Drosophila melanogaster: one gene and its partners. The gene in region 3 interacts genetically with the main gene of each other region. Each region holds a gene or a part of one and is shown on either strand. Other genes may lie near its edges.

Region 1 (7,586 bases), on a different chromosome or scaffold from region 3:
GGACCGAGGACAGCGACAAGAGCATCGGGACTGGCGCAACGAGCGCAGAGATTGGTACCAGCATCATGATGACAGCCGGAAGAGAAGCCGCAGTCCGAGCAGGCATCGACATGGCGATAGGCGTCGGGAGGAGCGAGAGCCACGCGAGAAGCAGCACAATAGGCATCGCTCCCAAACCGCTCGTCATTAGAGCGGCATGTGATGGTGCCGCTTCCATTGGCAGCGAAACTGGTGGCCATTACATGGTGCTGTGGTCATTTGAGTCCAGCCGACTGTTTATTTGGGTACTCAGATAATGAACAAAGCAAAAAAAAAATCAGATAATTGTGGTCTATAATCCTGGCTAGCTGCGGGGAGCGTCTACTTGGTGGAGACGCGCGTGCGCTTGTTCCAGGCAAAGTTGATGCCGTAGTTCTTGACGCGCTCCTTCTTGGGCTTCGCGGCGCCGTCGACGTACCAGCGCCATCCGTTCCGTTCGCAGAACGTGATGGCCTCCTCTGGGGATCCGAACTGCACGTTCATGTTGGACAATGGGTCGCCGCTGGAACACGAGACGTTGACCAAGGTTGCCATGGCATGGTGGACGTGCCAGCTACTCACCTGGAGGCCCAGCCCATGAGCGGATTCTCCCAGCGCTCGCGGTTGTCGAACTCGATTTGCCAGGTGTTCACGTTATCGGTGCCGCTCTGCATTGCGTTCTTGGGCGGAATATGGATGCGCACACGGCGCTCCCGAATGTGCTCCTCCGGAACGCCGCTGATCGGGCTGAGATTGACGGCAGTCGGCACGGTGATCTTGCCACTCAGCTTGTTGCGCTGCTCCAGCTCTTCGGGGCGGGCCAGGGCCGTCTTGGGGTCCAGCGGACCGCCGTCCGTGGCGGTGGATGCCCAGCGGGCAGCGGCTGCCCTGTTGGCCTGGTACCTGCGGTGTCAAGATGCGAAAGTGGATAATTAGAGGGCTGCAGATTTGCCAGGTCGGATGCACTTGCTCCGGCCAGGCGGGGGTACCTACAGCTGCAGGGAGGCGGTGCTTCTGCACATCACTTGGCGGAGGGCCGACATTTCGCTAGGCGTTTGGGGCTACACGGCAGAAATCGGCTTCAAAATACGAATTACGTAAAATTTGGAACACAAGCGCTTTTCGATTGGGAAAACAGCTGTTCGCCAGTGCCAGTGTGACCAGGCGAGCGGTGAGTGTTTTTATTCTAATTGGAAACAGTGTGGCCCCTCGCCTTGGATGCGATGCCACAATAGTTCAAAAACAGTTTTCTTCTTTTTCACTTCGAACTTCGCAAAAACTATGAAATGCTGTTCAAGTGGTAAAATGAACTTTAAAATGAAAATGAATGAAATGAAATACACTGATGATGAACTAGAGAAGTAACTAGAACTAAAACTATGCTATTTGTAAGCCAACTGTTTAAATGATGAGCATTGCATTTGCCCAGTGCTGCCAGATATGTAGGTGTTCTTAGCTCCTTTTAGCTTAATTTCACCATTAGCTGATTATTGGCAAAGGAGCCCGTTTCGCTTATCGATTCTAATATCGATTTGAATCGGTCAGGGTCCTTATTCTTTCAGTTATTCATCGAACTGCGGAATGCCGCCGGCCCTACCACATGGCAATAGCGAAACGTTGTGGCAACGCCTCGCCTACTTGCAACTTTTGTGTCAATCAATACATGTTGAAAACAGATAAAGACACAAATTTTTCAGTTCATCTAAATTGCCACTGATCCAGGCAGAACAGCACGGCGGCAGAACAGTCCCATCCAGAACAGCGACATGGGCGTTCCCAAGTTCTTTCGCTACATCAGCGAGCGATATCCGTGCCTCAGCGAATTGGCGCGGGAGCACTGCGTAAGTAAAGCTGCTAGGTCACGTTATATGTTGCCATGCACCGTACGGTTCCTTTGCAGATACCCGAGTTCGACAATCTGTACTTGGACATGAACGGCATTGTCCACAACTGCTCGCATCCGGACGACAACAACATACACTTTCACCTGGAGGAGGAGCAGATATTCCAGGAAATCTTCAACTACGTAGACAAGCTGTTCTACCTGATCAAGCCGCAGCGCCTCTTCTTCCTTTCAGTTGACGGGGTGGCTCCACGGGCCAAGATGAACCAGCAGCGCAGCCGGCGATTCCGGACGGCGCGCGAGGCGGAGCAGCAGGAGGCCAAGGCGGCCCAGCGAGGCGAGTTGCGAGAGCACGAGCGCTTCGACAGCAACTGCATTACGCCGGGCACCGAATTCATGGTGCGTCTGCAGGAGGGACTGCGCGCCTTTCTCAAAACGAAGATTTCGACGGATCCGCTGTGGCAGCGTTGCACCGTAATCCTAAGTGGCCAGGAGGCGCCCGGCGAGGGCGAGCACAAGATCATGGACTACATTCGGTACATGAAGACGCAGCCGGACTATGATCCCAATACACGACACTGCCTTTACGGCCTGGACGCCGATCTGATCATTCTGGGCCTCTGCACCCACGAGCTGCACTTCGTGGTGCTGCGCGAGGAGGTCAAGTTCGGGCGCAACGTCAAGCGCACCTCGGTGGAGGAGACGCGCTTCTTCCTGCTGCACCTGGGTCTGCTGCGCGAGTACCTCGAGCTGGAGTTCGACGCCCTGAGAACAGACGAGCACAAATTGGACATTGCGCAGCTTATCGACGACTGGGTGCTGATGGGCTTTTTGGTCGGCAACGACTTCATTCCCCACCTGCCGTGCCTGCACATTTCATCAAATGCACTGCCGCTGCTCTACCGCACCTACATCGGCATTTACCCGACCCTCGGCGGCAACATCAACGAGAACGGCAAGCTCAACCTGCGCCGCTTGCAGATTTTCATATCGGCCCTCACCGAGGTGGAGCTGGATCACTTCAAGGAGCACGCCGACGACTTGAAGTACATGAACAACAAATCAGAGGCGTTCGACATGGACGTCGGCGAGATCACCGAGTCTCAAAACCTCGACTCCGATCTCGGAGCCCTCATCAACAAGAGCATGCTGGTATGAACTCTCTGCACTGACCGCCATCCCGTCATTTCCGTCCGCTCAATGCCGCCTTCCCATCCACAGCTCTACGATGACGACAGCGAGGAGGACTGCTCCGACGAGAACGCGGTTCTTCTGAAGGAGTTCCAGAACTACAAGCGAAACTTCTACCGCAACAAGTTCAAGCGTGATCCGAATGATGAACTGATCGAGGAACTGTGCCACCACTACGTCAATGCGCTGCAGTGGGTGCTCGACTACTACTACCGTGGCGTGCAGTCCTGGGACTGGTACTATCCCTTCCACTACACTCCATTCATCAGCGACCTCAAGAACATCGAGCAGGTGGAGATCGCCTTCCACATGGGCACGCCCTTTCTGCCATTCCAGCAGGTGAGCTGAGCACATTTAGTTAGCACCGATAACTTTCCTAGCATCAGGCTTACCATTTCTTAAACATAAACCAGAGCCACCAATTTAGACTATCATTTGCGTATCTCCTTTCTAACATATATCTATCTCCCTCTAATCCAATGGTGGTGCTAGATCATTTGGTTAAAGCAATCTTCTCAACCAAATTATCCATGTATCCATATATCTGCACACATACTAGATTTACTTAAGCCATCTGTCCAATCTTTCATATAAAGCTTCTGGCGGTACTGCCGGCGGCCAGTGCAAAGCTTCTCCCTGTCGCCTACCACGACCTCATGCTGCTGCCGACCAGCCCGCTGGCCGAGTTCTATCCACTGGAGTTCGAGAGCGACCTCAATGGCAAGAAACACGATTGGGAGGCGGTTGTGCTGATACCCTTCATCGATGAGGGTCGGCTGCTGGCCGCTATGCTGCCATGCGAGGCTCAGCTGTCGCTGGAGGAGCGCGAACGCAACCGACACGGTCCCATGTATGTGTACAAATACAGTACGGTGGCGCAGGGTCCCATGCCAGCGTATCCACCGCTGAGGGCTCTTCCCGTGCTCTACTGCACGGAGGTGGCCAAGTGGTCGCACGAAATCGCAGTCAATCTGCCGTACAGCGTGTGCATCGAGCTACCAAATGCGGCGAGAACCGTTTTCTTCCCGGGATTTCCCACCATGCAGCATCTGCCCTTCGATGTGAGTGACGCCGGGACACATGCATAACGCTCGCCATGTCCGCCATGTCTAATATGCTTGCTATTCTTTTCCAGTTCGAGCTGCGCAACGACCGCGTCAAGGTGTTCGAACAGGTCAGTCGCAACCAGAACATTGTGCTAAAACCACGCAAGCGCCAGCTGGAGGACACACTGACGGCGGTGGCCTCCCAGTACCTCGGGAAGGTGATCCACGTCGGCTGGCCGCATCTCGTCAAGGCGATAGTGGTGCGCGTGGCCACGCGAGATCAGCGCGTCGACAGCGAGGGAATCACGCTAAACGATTCGCGGCGTTTCGACTCGGAATGCAAGGCACTGCAGGAACAGTTGAGTGTGAAGCCGCCGTCTGGCCCTGCATTCACACTGCTAATGCTCCATCTTCCCTTTCCTCCTTCTCCTCCCACGACAGCTTTATCAATCGTATGGGAATACAGTTTGCCAACTATGATGTGCTCGTCTATGTGCGCACCTTTGCCGGCAATTCGACGGAGTTCCGCGACAAGGGGGCATTGATGGTGCGCGACTCGTGGAGCAGCTCCGTCACCGGCTATCCAGCCCAGGGCGTGGTGGCCGATCTGACTGTGTGGGAAAGAATGCGCAAGAATTTCCTCAACGTGGAGCACTACTTCCCCGTTGGCAGCACGATCTTCTTGATCACGGATCCGTATTACGGCAGCGAGGGAACTGTGCAGGACCCACGGCTGGCCTACACCAACGGCCGGATTCAAGGTAAGTTCGTCTCGCCATGTCCTTGACACCCCATCATCATTTCATCTCTGCAGTCAGCATCATGGTGCGACCGGAACCGAAAGTAAATGCGGCACGTCAGCTGCAGGAAGAGCGGGACCGGGACTATCTGAGCACCTTCCAGGTCTGCAACTTGCTCCGAATCAGTGGCCGCACCCTGGGACGCCTAAGTGGCACCGTGTGGGTGGTGCTCGGTCCGCGGCGTCAGAAGATGGAAAACGTGACCAAGCACAACATTGGCCTGCAGCTCAAGTATCCGCGGCAGAACGAGGAGCGTGCCGGATACTGCTTCCGCACGAACAACCAGTGGTACTACTCCAGCCTGGCCGTGGATCTGATGCGCAACTATTGCCAGCGTTACCCAGACGTTATCGACTTCTTTGGCGACTCCAACGATCGCGCCGAGTTCGTATTCGAACAGGACGTGTTCCCCAATGCGGTTGGCCATCGCCGCGTCGAGGAACTGGCCAACTGGGTGCGCCAGCAGCCGCACATGAAAGTGGAGCGCATCTCTTGCGGCTCCAAGACGGTCTGCCGCGAGACCATCGAACTGCTGATAGCCGCCGTCGACGACCTGCGCTCACTGCCCGTCAAGCACGTTAAACTGCAGGTGAAGCCGCACTTGCTCATCAAGCCCAATGTCACACTGCCAGATGTCTACCGATCAAAGCGCCCGGTGCGTCTCTTCGATCGCGTCGTAATCGTACGCACCATTTACATGGTGCCCGTGGGCACTAAGGGCACCGTGATTGGCATTCATCCCGTTACGGACCCCAACCCGGTCCGCCTGGAGTGCGTCCATGCTGTCGACACGTTCTGCAAGGTGCTGTTCGACAGCCCCGTTCCGAACTGCAACAACATCCATGGCATCGCCGAAGACCGAGTTTACAAGGTGCCCGAAATTGCCCTGGTGATCATCAAGACGGATGGTAAGTGGATTTGGCTGCATAGCCTACAGAATCGGAGGAGGCACATACATAGCAATGCTCCCACTTCCTCTCCTTGCAGAGGAAGGAAAGAAGCAGAACGACTGCGAACTGCCGGTGAGGGATCCTCAGCCGAACCAGGCACAGGACGAGCCAGTCCGCGCGACCAGCAGTCGCTATGTGACCGCCGCAGGGTCCACCTCGGTCCCGATCACGATGAAGACCCAAATTAGCGACGAATTCGTCAAGACGCGTAGCGATCCGATAGCCCGTACGGATTCGTACAAGCCATCGTCGGAGCCAAAACCGGTGCCGGTGCCGGAGCAGATTACCAACTGGCGGGAACGCGTCAGTACGCCAACAAACAAACCGCAGCCTGCGCCAAATAATTGGCGCATAAATCGGTCTTCATCACGTCAACAGGGCGGTAGTATTTTTGTTGCTCCGCCCACAAAAACTCCTGATGCAGCTGCAAGCACTGCTTCCACTGCATTCACCGCAGCCTCGTCCGCAACGCTGACTCCTCTGGATCAGACCTTGGCGCTCATGTCGGTTTTGGGCGTGGGTGAGGACCAGAGCTCGCCGCCACTCCAGGAGGCGGTGCAGCAGCAACGTCCGCCACTACTTCAACAGCAAAGAGCTCCGTTTCCCGGACAAATGCCCGTAACTGCTTTCAGCCCAGATGTGCCACCCAACCATGTGTTCACATAACTACTTTTCATTGCAGAATCTACCCAAGCCACCGCTCTTCTGGCAGCAAGAGGCGCAGAAGCAGGAGGCGCTGCAGCAGGAGGCGCAGCAGCAGGAGGCGCAGAAGAAGCAGCAGCAGGCGCATGCGCAAATGGAGCCTGAACGTATCAATAGCCAGCATTTCTACAGAAGCGGCCAGACAGGAGCGGCGTTGAATCAGCCGCCATTGGGTGCTCCATCAAAAAGGCAGTGGCATGAGTGGGTGCACCCGCGCATGCAGCACGCCAACGCATTCCACGCTGGCGTCAACAATGGATATCAGATGCGTCCCAAAAAGAATATAGCTGCGCAGAGCACCTTTAACAACAACGTGCACATGCACCTCCAGCAACCATATTACCCGAATCAGCAGCAGCAGCAGCAGCAGCAGCAGCCACTCCAGCTGACGGAGATCAACAATGCGCCACCGCGATACTCAACGATCCAAGATTTTGTGCCCATACAGGCGTACCGTCCCAAGAAATTAAATCGCGTCCAACCAGCCGGTCGTCAGGACGTCGATGCCACCAAGAATCCTAGTCGTTCGCCTGTGTTGCAGCAACCGACGAACGAGACTATAGACACAAAGGCCAGTTCTAGTCTTCCGGTACAATCAGCAGGCGAACAGGTGATTGGACTGATGCAAACGCTTGAAATTAAGGTAAGCATTGGCTACAAGTCAAAGCCTTGATTACCGAACTAATGCTTTCCTCTCGGCCGACAGCAGCCGGCTGCGTCGCAGTCCGAATCTGATGGGGTCTCAACAGGCAGTGCGAACGCGCCCACAGCAACGACATCATCCCAGGTAATGGAGGAGATAGAGATAGTTATTCTGCATAATTTACTCATTCCATTTACTCGCTTCTGTTGCAGGCGGTCAACCGAAGGAAGCATCGAGTGCCTCGCATCGGAGCCAAGTTCGACTTGGAATACATACTGCCCGACTCCCCGCATCCAACTTAAGAGCGAACAAATGGGTATTTTTAGGTTCAAATCCCACCTAGCTGAAGAAATGCAACGCTATTTGGATCTTATATCACCTTATTTCTATCTC
Region 2 (5,350 bases), on a different chromosome or scaffold from region 3:
AGGCCTTCTCGGCGGAGATAACGGGGGCGTAGGTCACCAGAGGGAAGTGAATACGTGGGTAGGGCACCAAGTTGGTCTGGAACTCAGTCAGATCCACGTTAAGGGCACCATCGAATCGCAGAGAGGCGGTAATCGAGGACACGATCTGGCCAATCAGACGGTTCAGGTTGGTGTACGTGGGGCGCTCAATGTCCAGATTGCGGCGGCAGATGTCGTAGATAGCCTCGTTGTCGACCATGAAGGCGCAGTCGGAATGCTCCAGGGTGGTGTGGGTGGTCAGGATGGAGTTGTAGGGCTCGACCACGGCAGTGGACACCTGGGGGGCTGGGTAGATGGCGAACTCCAGCTTGGACTTCTTGCCGTAGTCCACGGAGAGACGCTCCATCAGCAGCGAGGTGAAGCCGGAGCCGGTACCTCCACCGAACGAGTGGAAGATGAGGAAGCCCTGCAGACCGGTGCACTGATCGGCCAGCTTGCGGATCCTGTCCAGAACCAGATCGACGATCTCCTTGCCGATGGTGTAGTGGCCACGGGCGTAGTTGTTGGCCGCATCCTCCTTACCAGTGATCAGCTGCTCGGGGTGGAACAGCTGACGGTAGGTTCCGGTACGGACCTCATCGACCACAGTGGGTTCCAGATCCACAAACACGGCGCGGGGCACGTGCTTGCCAGCTCCAGTCTCGCTGAAGAAGGTGTTGAACGAGTCATCACCTCCGCCCACGGTCTTGTCAGACGGCATCTGGCCATCGGGCTGGATGCCGTGCTCCAAGCAGTAGAGCTCCCAGCAGGCGTTTCCAATCTGGACACCAGCCTGACCAACATGGATAGAGATACATTCACGCTGTGGATGAGGAGGAAGGGAAAACGGATGATTAGTTACACACCCCAAGAAAATCGATAATTGCAGAGCCGCGCCCAACTTGAGCCGGCACTGCGTGCGAGTGAGAGAGGTAGCTAAATGGTATACTGATTTTTTTGCTCTACTTTGCCGACGCCGGAATTTTACTCTCTCGCCATTTTCTCTTTAATTCTATCCAAAATCTACAGTTATGCGTCGAAGTATCATGGTAACCGAATTTAGAATTTTTAAGATTAATGAAGCGTTCCAGCAGCATAGAAATAATGAATATTTTTTTTATCTAGATTTTAAGAGCCATTCCTCATTGCGAACAAAAAAAAAAAACAGGCATGACGTCATCACTTTTGAGGAAAAAACGCAGGCCGGCCGCCATTTTGAGAAAAAGCCGCATCGCGTTTTTGCCCATTGAATTTTGCCCACACAAATTTCTTTTCAGCATTATTTCACTAGATTTTTTTTTAAAGTACTCACCATATTGAGTTTTTATTGGAAGTGTTTCACACGCGACAAGGAAAATTCACAGAATTGTGTAGAGCTACGATTTCGAGGTCTGACTCAGAGAGCGTATACGTTCGAACTGCCGGCTATGAGGCTTGACAAACGTAAAACGAATATGAAATGTGGAAAGCGGGCTGCTTTATATAGGCACCGGAGCTAGAGACGGCAAGCTGTCGACTTAAACGCCGCATAACCGATAACTGAAGTGGGAGAGGTAATGGCACTTGGTCTCTCTAAAACTTGCTGCGGTATTTTGCAGGACTAGTTGGGACTCGAACCAGGGCGTGAATCTTTGCTTGCCCAACCGGTAGACCTAACCGGTTGCTAAAGTGGGCCAACATTAATAATATTTTTGTTGAATGTTTCATAAAAGCTATTTTAATATAAATTCGCATCGTTACCGATTCAATAAGGTTTAGTAAATCATTATATTTCTGACTCCATATTGATTTCCAACAGCAAATTAATTAACTCCATAACTTCCCCTCTCCCTTTGGAGCAAAGGATGTAGTTAATATCTTAACATCTAAACTTGTTTTGTTTTTTTATTCAAATAGGAGTTATATTAAATAGAAATGTAAAAAACAAAGCAGGTTTTAAGAAAATGATGTCAGGAGATTTTGAACTCCTACTCATGGTCACTCTAATCGCAGTCTGCAATTTACGTGTTTCCAACTTAACGCCCCCAAGTTAATAGCCGTAATCATTTGAAAAGAAAGGCACGCACGCACAACGCCATGCGGATCGAACCTGGGGACTCCTTTTGGACGAAAAAGGCGATGTTTTCCAACGCAGAAAGGCAGTACTTTGAGACGGTCCGTCCGCGGAAGACCAGTGTGAGTAAAAGTTGACCGTCGATGGCGATTTCACAAGTGACGTTTAAGTGGCGGGAACTTCTACTCACAAATCCCTGAGCCCTGTGATATGATTTATTTTATGGAGCCGTGATCCGGACGAAAAATGCACACACATTTCTACAAAAATATGTACATCGCGGTGCGATTGTGTCGCTTAAAGCACACGTACACCCACTGTCACACTCACACTCACATGCATACACCGCCGGCGAACTTTGGTGTAGTTGGCCACCCTACGAAATTCAACCGCTTCGATTCGAATTTTCGAATCAACAGTTATTGGCAGTCGAACAAAGGCGGCAAACTTTCGAGTTGCAGAAAAGTTAACGCATTCGATTAACCTTTCAGCTTCCGGGCTCCACCGCGCCCAACATAGCCGCTCCGGTAACAAAGGCCACGAAGAAGAATAAGACGATGGCCGAGATGATGCCAAACAAACTGCTTTACGTGAGTACGAGTTTGTATCATTCGAATTTTTAGACTAAAGCCCGCTGATCGTGCAGATGAATCCGCTTACCATGGAGGCACACTTCTTTCTGCAGACCCTAAACTCAGTGAACCAGACGACGAATCCGCCGCAGCTAGACCCGCACCTGGCCAACCTGCTGGAGCGCATTATGGTGGGCATCGAGAGCTACTTGGACAGGAATCCCACATACGTTTTGCCGCAGGAGATGGCCGCACCGGGTGAGGGCGTGGCCTTCGTCCAGCCCCAGGAGCTGCAGACAATAAAGCGAACATTCAGCTGTAGTTCCTGCAGCAACCGCATAGTGGGCACCACCATCGCAAAAGCTGTGGCCCACCTTTCGGAGCAGCATCCAAAACCCAATCCCAACAATCAGCCAGTCCAGCCGCATCCGACGCATCAGACGAAACAGGAGAAAAAGCAGGCCCAGGTGAAGGCTCGTCAGCATATAACAGTACGGCTACCCAAGAGTAGGTCACCATTTCATTTCATTTACTTACGCAGAAGTGCAGTCTAAAAATTGTGGTCTGACTACTTGTAAATGTTAGATTGATAAAGCCTCAATACTTTGATTAATATGTTTTCTTTAGAGCCAGCGATATTTTATAAATACTTTTTACATTGCAGAGGCCAGGGCAATGATTGTGGGAGAGATTACGAATGTGTTTAAGGACAAATACCCAATAGCGGACAAGTTAAAGGTGATTCCCGAGTACGACGTTATCGAACAGGACCTGTGCAAGCTTTTGTCGCCGGGCTTTCCCAAACAACCACTGCGAGTCTACAAGTTCGGGTCCCGCATCACAGGCATTGGAAATCGATCCTCGGACCTGGACCTCTTCGTCGACATCGGTAAGTCGGGTTAGTACTGCATTGAGCTCCTACCAATTTCACCTGGCTTCTGAATTGGCAGGCAACACATTTCACACGTTCGAGCATCGAGCTTCCAACGCTACCGTCGCCAAGCTGCGGGCTATGAGGAAGTTCTTCTGCGACAGCGAGGACTGGCGTCTTATTAATGTGAGCTGTGTCCCTAAGCAATACGTTCGTTTTTACCATTGCACTTTCTTCAACAGTTCATCGAACAGGCTCGCGTGCCCATCATCAAGACGTGCCACTTACCAACCGGTATCGAGTGCGACATTTGTCTGAACAGCATGGGCTTTTGCAATACAAATCTGCTCAAATACATATTTGAGTCACAGCCACTGAGTAAGCACATGCTGCCGGATAGAGTCCATGTTATCTTTTTGCATTCGCTCCCTTGCAGCTCAATATATGTGCATATATGTAAAGAACTGGCTGGAGCGCTGCAAGCTAACTGAACAAATATCGACGTACAGCATTACACTGATGGTGATTTACTTCCTGCAGCTCCAGGCCCTGCTGCCCCCCATTGCCATGCTGCAGATAGAGGATGCAGCCAATCAGGCCGTGCTCGTGGGTCGTAAGTACATCGTCGGTTTCTTGGGGGGATTCACCAAGTAAGTCGTCTCTTTACAGCGTGGGTTGTCAACTTTGCACAAAAATCGTTTAGCGAACTGGGACTGCAGCAATTAAAGGCGACCGTCCCCGTCATCAAGGGCTTCCTTCGAAACTTCTTTGCGTATTTCGCCAAATTTGACTACGAGCATTTCTTGGTCTGCCCATATATAGGTCAGGCTAATGTTGAAATCGCGAAGATTGAGAGGATGCTGCATGCTAGGTGAGAATATTAATTGCTTAACTTTAAGCCCTTTAAATATGTAATGCTATATAGAAATTACAAAAAAAAAAAAAAAAAAAAAAAAAACTTTCCCTGCTACTAGGTATTCAGCATATGTGTCGGACAACCCTGAATGCTCGATCCAGCTGAAAAAACCGATGGTGGTACAGGATCCCATACAACTAAACCACAATGTAACGAAAGCGGTGACCAAATATGGACTGCAGACGTTCGTTGACTACTGCCAGCAGACGGCGGAGCTGCTTGAGGAACCTTCCACCAATTGGCGTCAGCGCTATGCATTTTAAAGAAATCCCCCTCGATTATCTGTCCCTGCATCCAATCTCAAGGCACTTCCGTTTATGGTCTGTTAGGCTTCTACCTTGTGAGCGCGACACCAATGTAGGTTTGTTCAGACTGTTAATTAAAGGCGATTGTCACGTTTCGGCAATATATTTCACTAACAAGCTTTTAAATTGTATAATTGGTTTGGTATCATTTGCATTAACACATAAAGTGACCTCGTATGGCACGCACAGACACGGACTACATCTGCCAGGACTCGGGCAGCCGGTTGAACACCTTCAGCAGCATATATATTGTGAAGCCCACGATTAGGAACAGCCCCAGGAAGCTGATGCGGTTCAGCCAGTGCTGCTTGGAGTCGCGCATCAGGTTGTAAATGCTCATGGCCGAGCTCTCCGCCTCCTCCACGCTCCCGTTATTGTCAATGACGAAGTGAGACTTCTCGCACTTCTTGTCCAGCGGCATTTGTGAATCGACGCGATGCCGGGCTTCCGATTCCGAGAGCTCATTGCGGGCTATTAATCGCTCCAGCTGCTTGTCCGAGTCGCTGCAATATGGGGGGATGCAGTTAAAGCCAGCTACACTTTGACACCTAGCATTCAAGAGCTATTAACCTACCAGGTTACACAGACGATCTTGTGTATAAAGTCCATCAGCAC
Region 3 (6,107 bases):
GGTTTAGATTAGACATGGATGTAGTTTTACAACGATACAAGTGGATGTAGTTTTAGAACGATCCGATCTGGAGACTTGTGCAGATATTGTGTGTGTACTTACTTAACCCGCACTTGATTGCGCAGTTCAATTTGCTTTTATTGTCGTAGCTCACCATATCACTACTCCAGACGGGATTGTACTCAGGGGTGGTTAGGCAGGATTGCGTGCATTGGAGCCTAGACTGTAGTTTTCTTATATTATCGGATGAGGGTGGCTTTGAATAAGTCCAACTAACAGCAGGAAAATGCCTTAAAAAAATCGTCAGCTGCAATCGGTGATTATACGACCTGGACAGCCTAACAAATATTCCGAATCTAGACATTTCAGACGATACTTCTGCGTCAATGCAAATTTAATTTAAAAAACCTCATGCTTTAAACTTTCGCCGTTAACATTATCGCCAATGACCCCAATTGACCTTTATTTTCGATTAACATTTGTCAGCATGATCCAAATCATTTTCGGTTAACTTGATTGTTTTATTGATAAGCAGTTAAGCCTTGATTTTACATAGCACATATGTACATACATTTTTACAAGCTTATTATGATATGCAAACCGAAAAAGGAAGCATCACAGAGTCAATTTTTGTCAAGCATAAAGCTCGGACCCACAATGTGGTTCAAAAAAGTGAGTTTGGACTAACAAGTATTTTTCGATTTTTTTGATTTTTCATTTAACGACACTGAAACAGAAGGAATCTCTTAAACAAAATTGATGTTCCCTCTGTGTGTAGTTATAAACTTTTTTGGCTTATTGAAAAAATACGGTGCAGTTGCTTTGGGTTGTTCCTATGCGAAGAATTACATCTGCTCGTCTGCTCCTTTTTTTCCTAAATTTGTTCTTCCATCTTTAAAAATCCAGTTAGTTTTTGGTCCCAAATGATCAGACATATGGGGACCACGGAAAGCAGCTGCAACTTCCTAGGTGACTGCTTTAAGTTGCGCTCGGCAATAAGAATGTAATTGGGTACGCCGTGTGTGTCTACGAGGACCTTTTGCATTTTGTAGTTAATGCTTATAACGTGGCCCGACTCCAGAGTAACTACGTTCATCATATGCTGAAATATTTCAATGACCACAGCTCGCATGTATATGCCCTGCTTGTTGTGAACATATCGTTTGAAGTACAAGTTACCAGAGTCCTCTCCGGCCTTTTTCGCATTGTACTTGCGCTCATTCGCTAATTTCGTTAAGGTGTGCAAATCATCTGGGGTACGTTTAGGCGGTGTACAATATTTAAGTGCGGCCGCCAAAAGTCTAGAGTGGAGGAAATTTTAAGTACGGGAGGCGAACTTCCAAGGTAAGTGACAGTTACCGGTGCACCAAAATATCAGGATACCGACGGATTGGGCTAGTAAAGTGAGTGTATATGGGTATGGACAAGGCGTAGTGCCACAGGTCAGCCGGTTCCGATTTACCCTCGCTACAAAAATATCTAAAGGGGGGAAATTGTGGGAAGAGTAATTATTTGAAAACTGAGACACTCACGTTGCACGGGCCATTGGTTTCATCAAAAGCTGACTTAGGCAGGCATTCATTGCGACAGGATTGGGCGCCTCATTGCACAACCGCACCATGCTCTCCTGGAGCGCCTTAGACGAGCTATAGTCCAATTCGAATCCCAGAGCAAGCAGCTTTTCCCTTAAAGCCTTAAGGGACTTAATAAGTGGCGGAGGGTGGTTACGCAGTACAGCGATATCCGGAAAGGAGTCGTGTATAAAGCGGGCGACTGCCTGGTTGGCCAGGAGCATAAACTCTTCAATCAGCCGGTTAGCCTCTCGCTGTTTCTCCACTTCAAAAGACAACGGCTCGCCAGTAATTGGATCGAGCAGGAAGCGTAGCTTGGCATTGTTAATTGTGAGTGCGCCATTGTCTAAACGTGTCTTACGGATGGAGCTTGCAATGTCGTGCAGCCATAGCACCCTATTTCTGATATCATCGGGATTAAATCCATTCAGGATGGTCGGAAAGTCGTTCTCGGTAAACCGTTCATTAGGGTTGTCGATGATCTTTTGAGCGTGTTCATAAGCAAATTGCGAGCAAGAGTTAATGACTGTGCGGCAAAATTCTGGCTTCTTTTGCAGCATGACTCCCTTCCCGTTCATCCGCCAGAAGACGGAAAAAGCAAACTTGTCTTGCCCAGGGAGCAGGGAACATCGCATGCATAGAGACTGAGGCAGCATGTGGATTACCTCGTTGGCTAAATAAATAGACGTAGAGCGTTCCTTCACTATGTTATCCAGTTCATTGTCCTCTATCAGGAAGTGCGAAACATCGGATATATGGACGCCAATCTCATATTCGTTGTCGCCTAGCTTCTCTATAGAAACGGCGTCATCCAAATCGCGAGCAGTCATCGGATCTATAGTAAATATGCACATCTTTCTTAAGTCTTTTCGTTGACGCAGATCCTCTTGGCTTATCGGAGGTGGCGGCTGGGAGTAAATGTCGATAAATCGTTGCTCAAATGGCTTTATATCCCGGAGACCGTTATGAAACAGAATTGCCTTAAGTTCGTCATCCAAATTACCCACGCGGCCAACCGGCTGGATTAGTTCAGCGATGCAGTGCCCATTGCAATCTGTCTCGAGTATATGGGCAAGGTATAAGAGGCCGGACACGTCTATTTGCTGCTTGTTTCCGATGTGGGCGGCACAGGCATCCTTCGGAACGTAGACCATGGGGACACGCAAATCGTACGGTCGGAATTTGTAGAATAGCTGGTCGTCACAGAGTTTGGTTGGGTTCGTAAACGATATGGTTCCCACGATCTGGCGGAGCTCAGTTCGTTTAGTTATTGCTATGACGAACGCTTTAGGGCAGTTGTCCGACGATATCACGACCACGTTGTCGGTATCGGACTCAGAGCCCTGGGACTCGGTATCGTCCGAAAGCTCCTCACCATCCGCTTTATAGGATATTATCATCAGTCGAAAGTATTATAAGTTTGCCGATAAACTTACCAAGAGATAATGAGGGCTTCCCACCAGAGATTTCACCAGACGAGGGCTCAGCTGTCTTTGAACTACCCTGAGCACCAGGGTTTAGCACGAATGCACGTACTTTGTCACCATCGAAGGCATAGCGCCTAGCCACTGGCAAGAGCACGATGCCATCTCGTTCGAGTGCTTCTCGATCAGTGGACATGATTATAAAGGCCTGTCTGTTGTTCTTGCGGTTAACCCGGATTTCCTCTTCTACAATGCGCCCATAACCCGCCGCAACTAGTCTCTGCGCATGCGCTTCCAGGTCGGAGAAGTTACCTTTGAAAATCAAGTCTTCCGACAACTGGTGATCCATACCCACGTGACGTTGGACAATCTTGTTTATGTACGACCGCATGGCCTCTAGTTCGGTTTTTTGCGATTGGGTCCCATTGCTACCGGATCCATCGTTTTTCTTGCTATTGCGTTGCCTTCGTCCTAGTTTCGGTTGCTGCTGTACATGACTTCCATTGTTTGTAGCAGAGACCTCAGAATCGTGGCGATGCCGCCCCTGGTAACCAACCTGTTGCGGATGTGCTTCTGACCTGGTCTGACTCCACTCGAGCTGAGAAAGGATCTCGTTTTTACGTATCAGCTGGCAGGCATACGCGTTAACATCTGGGGAGAGGTGTGAAAGATGTTTGACCATATCCTGAAGAGCTTCCACCTCATTTCGAAGAGCCCGCTTCGACTTCTTTTTCGCTATTAACCGATGGCTGGGACTAGACACGACGTGCAAATGCGAAAGTGGCTGAAGGCAGGGAATCTGCATGGTCGCCTGGTAGGAGGCGAATGCTACGTGGTAGGGCAATTGCATAGCTACCGGCGCTGGCGTGGATACTGGCACACCGTAAGGAATGGCCTGCCTGCTGTTGCTCCGAGCAGATGGTTGGGATTGGTTGGGATGTGGCCGTGGTTCCGCCCAGCGCATTAGTGGCTGCAGCGGAATAACGGCATTGTTGGCCGATAGGTCTTTGCTGGATGCATTAGACTCCATTTCCCTCTGCATCTGCTGGAGGCGGGCAGCAAGGCGTTGTGAGCGCTGTCGGAGGCCCTCAATCCTTCTGCAATCTCGGTCCGCATCCACGTTGACGCTTGACGTTTCCGACATTCTGCAAGAAGTGCACTTAGTTAATGGGATTCGCTGATGTCCGAAAGTGTACGGCACTACACTTGGCTATGGGCGGGATATAAAGGGTAAGGCATAATTCAATACTTTCTCCAAATTAAAATGATAGGACAAGTACAGTAGGACCGTACTGCGTGGTATGTCGGAGCAGTGTCAGCTTCGGCCACACTCCGATACGCTAGTTCGGAAATTAGTGGAGATGAATGACGGTAAGTTGTTTTTGTTTATTTTCGCATTTGGGAATAGATATTTAAACTGATCTTCCAGAAGAAATCATAAAGCAGCGCCTGCTGATTGACGGGGATGGAACTGGAGAGGATCGGAGAATAGTAGTGTTGCTGAAACAGTTCTTGAAGTGGGCCAGTGACTCGCTGGACAGCAAGTAAGAAATTGGATATGTGTGTATTCAAAACATGGTGTACATATCTCCTCTTTTCCGAATTACAGTCCCATCATGTACGACCGACTGATGGCCCAATTCGCCCAGTGCAAGCTCACTGCGTTAAAGAATGTACAAACTCTGCAGATGATCGCCGGTGAGCGTGACAACTACACACAACTAGTTGAACACCACGAAGAAAGTATTGTTTTGGCTAAAGCGGAAATCGAATCCAGTAAAAAAGAGCTAATCACTGCCAAGCAGATTCGCAAGAACAAGATGGAGTACGACCTGCTGGCCTCGCTCATCCAGGACCAACCGGACCGCAGTGAAACACAGCGACATATTGAGACCATTAGGAGGGAGATTGACGACTTGGTGCAAAAGAAGCTAAAGATGGAGCGCAAGTTTCAGAAACGACGCAATGACTTCACTTTGCTGATGTACACGATTCACGAGCTGGAACAGCAGCTGGACCAGGACAGCTCATCCTCGGCATCCTCCTCGTCCAGCGATTGCGATGCCCGCTCTGAGCCGGACCTAGACGACAATGGGATCATGGAGGTAAGCGATGAAGACGACGATCTCAACAATAGCACTCCCACAAAGTTCGACGGAGCCCGCGGCGAGCCCAAATATCACTCAGTCTCTACTGAGGACTCTAAAGCCATGTCCGTAGAAGAGGACACGGTGCTTGAGCTAAGCATCGACAAAGATGAGCACGACGTGGATGTAGCTGTTGCCAATTAGGTTAGAAGCGCTAGCATGTACAATAAAAACAAAAAAATAAAATGTCATGAACTATAATATACAAATTCAACTGTTGTTTCGAAATTCCTTCGTTTTTATTTCCAATTTAGACTTGCGCCAAAGACGATATTTAAGGGTTATAAAATTTAATTTTAATATATTTTTATTTTACTTGCATATATACTAGAAATAATTCCGAAATCCCAGGAGGTATTTTTAAAACGTATTTACTTTTGTCCGGCGTGCAGTCACACTAAAAAAGCTACGAAGAGGAAGAATACAATAAGAGGAAAATTACAAGTTTCATTAGCCATCTGCAGAATTACCGCACACCTTATGAACGCACAGTGTGCGCGCATCTGCAGTTTACATTGTTAAACAATCAAATAATGGCTGACGACAAAAGGTAGGTTAATTTTACTAAGCCGACCGCACGTGTGTGTATTGACCTGGGCTGCTCCCCTCTTGTACCGAATAGCTACGACTCCAGCAACAACAGCGAGACCGAAGAGCGTCGGGCCAAGCACAAAAAGGCTAAAAAGCACAAAAAACATAAAAAATCCTCGACTGGCAAGACCGAGAAGGACAGGCATGTCCACAAGAAGCAGAAGAAGGCAAAAAAGCGCCCCCACCGAACAAGCGAATCCACAAACGAATCGGACGCCCCGGAAAACGCAAAGTTAAAGCTATCACAAAATTGCGGGCTGAGCAGCAAGTTCACAGAAATCATGCAGAAGGCCAGCCGGAATGGAGCCGATTTCCGTGTCGGCAAACCCCTGCTTCCGACGGATCCGAGCAGCCTTGTTGAAGAAATCACCAAA

What was found.
Region 1: of Dis3l2 (region 3) and pcm, changing one suppresses a phenotype caused by changing the other (phenotypic suppression), as found in Drosophila melanogaster (one study listed by BioGRID).
Region 2: of Dis3l2 (region 3) and Tailor, changing one enhances a phenotype caused by changing the other (phenotypic enhancement), as found in Drosophila melanogaster (one study listed by BioGRID).

What each region holds. Positions count from the first base shown.
Region 1 is NC_004354.4:19,486,012-19,493,597, reverse strand, and holds the start of pcm (pacman), read left to right. Parts: upstream 1-1,586; 5' UTR 1,587-1,784; coding exon 1,785-1,859; intron 1,860-1,918; coding exon 1,919-3,013; intron 3,014-3,082; coding exon 3,083-3,391; intron 3,392-3,648; coding exon 3,649-4,113; intron 4,114-4,187; coding exon 4,188-4,456; intron 4,457-4,539; coding exon 4,540-4,859; intron 4,860-4,912; coding exon 4,913-5,806; intron 5,807-5,885; coding exon 5,886-6,466; intron 6,467-6,530; coding exon 6,531-7,193; intron 7,194-7,256; coding exon 7,257-7,337; intron 7,338-7,405; coding exon 7,406-7,495; 3' UTR 7,496-7,586. Other genes in the region: CG12204 (uncharacterized protein), read left to right, coding at 1-190; ND-18 (NADH dehydrogenase (ubiquinone) 18 kDa subunit), read right to left, coding at 361-541, 601-921, 1,012-1,061.
Region 2 is NT_033777.3:7,082,725-7,088,074, reverse strand, and holds Tailor (tailor), read left to right. Parts: upstream 1-1,991; 5' UTR 1,992-2,094; coding exon 2,095-2,193; exon of another isoform or gene 2,194-2,415; intron 2,416-2,511; exon of another isoform or gene 2,512-2,562; coding exon 2,563-2,661; intron 2,662-2,717; coding exon 2,718-3,150; intron 3,151-3,307; coding exon 3,308-3,541; intron 3,542-3,593; coding exon 3,594-3,700; intron 3,701-3,756; coding exon 3,757-3,892; intron 3,893-3,950; coding exon 3,951-4,127; intron 4,128-4,183; coding exon 4,184-4,385; intron 4,386-4,488; coding exon 4,489-4,693; 3' UTR 4,694-4,850; downstream 4,851-5,350. Other genes in the region: alphaTub84B (alpha-Tubulin at 84B), read right to left, coding at 1-841, 1,331-1,333; Dpck (Dephospho-CoA kinase), read right to left, coding at 4,932-5,238, 5,310-5,350. UniProt on the Drosophila melanogaster protein: Uridylyltransferase which mediates terminal uridylation of miRNAs, leading to their degradation. Has high specificity for splicing-derived miRNAs (mirtrons) and other miRNA substrates containing a 3'-G terminal nucleotide.
Region 3 is NT_037436.4:210,877-216,983, reverse strand, and holds Dis3l2 (Dis3 like 3'-5' exoribonuclease 2), read right to left. Parts: upstream 4,276-6,107; 5' UTR 4,235-4,275; coding exon 4,200-4,234; exon of another isoform or gene 4,141-4,199; coding exon 3,008-4,140; intron 2,953-3,007; coding exon 1,533-2,952; intron 1,480-1,532; coding exon 1,360-1,479; intron 1,302-1,359; coding exon 875-1,301; 3' UTR 505-874; downstream 1-504. Other genes in the region: thoc7, read left to right, coding at 4,297-4,366, 4,425-4,539, 4,605-5,286; Prp4k (Pre-mRNA processing factor 4 kinase), read left to right, coding at 5,676-5,692, 5,765-6,107.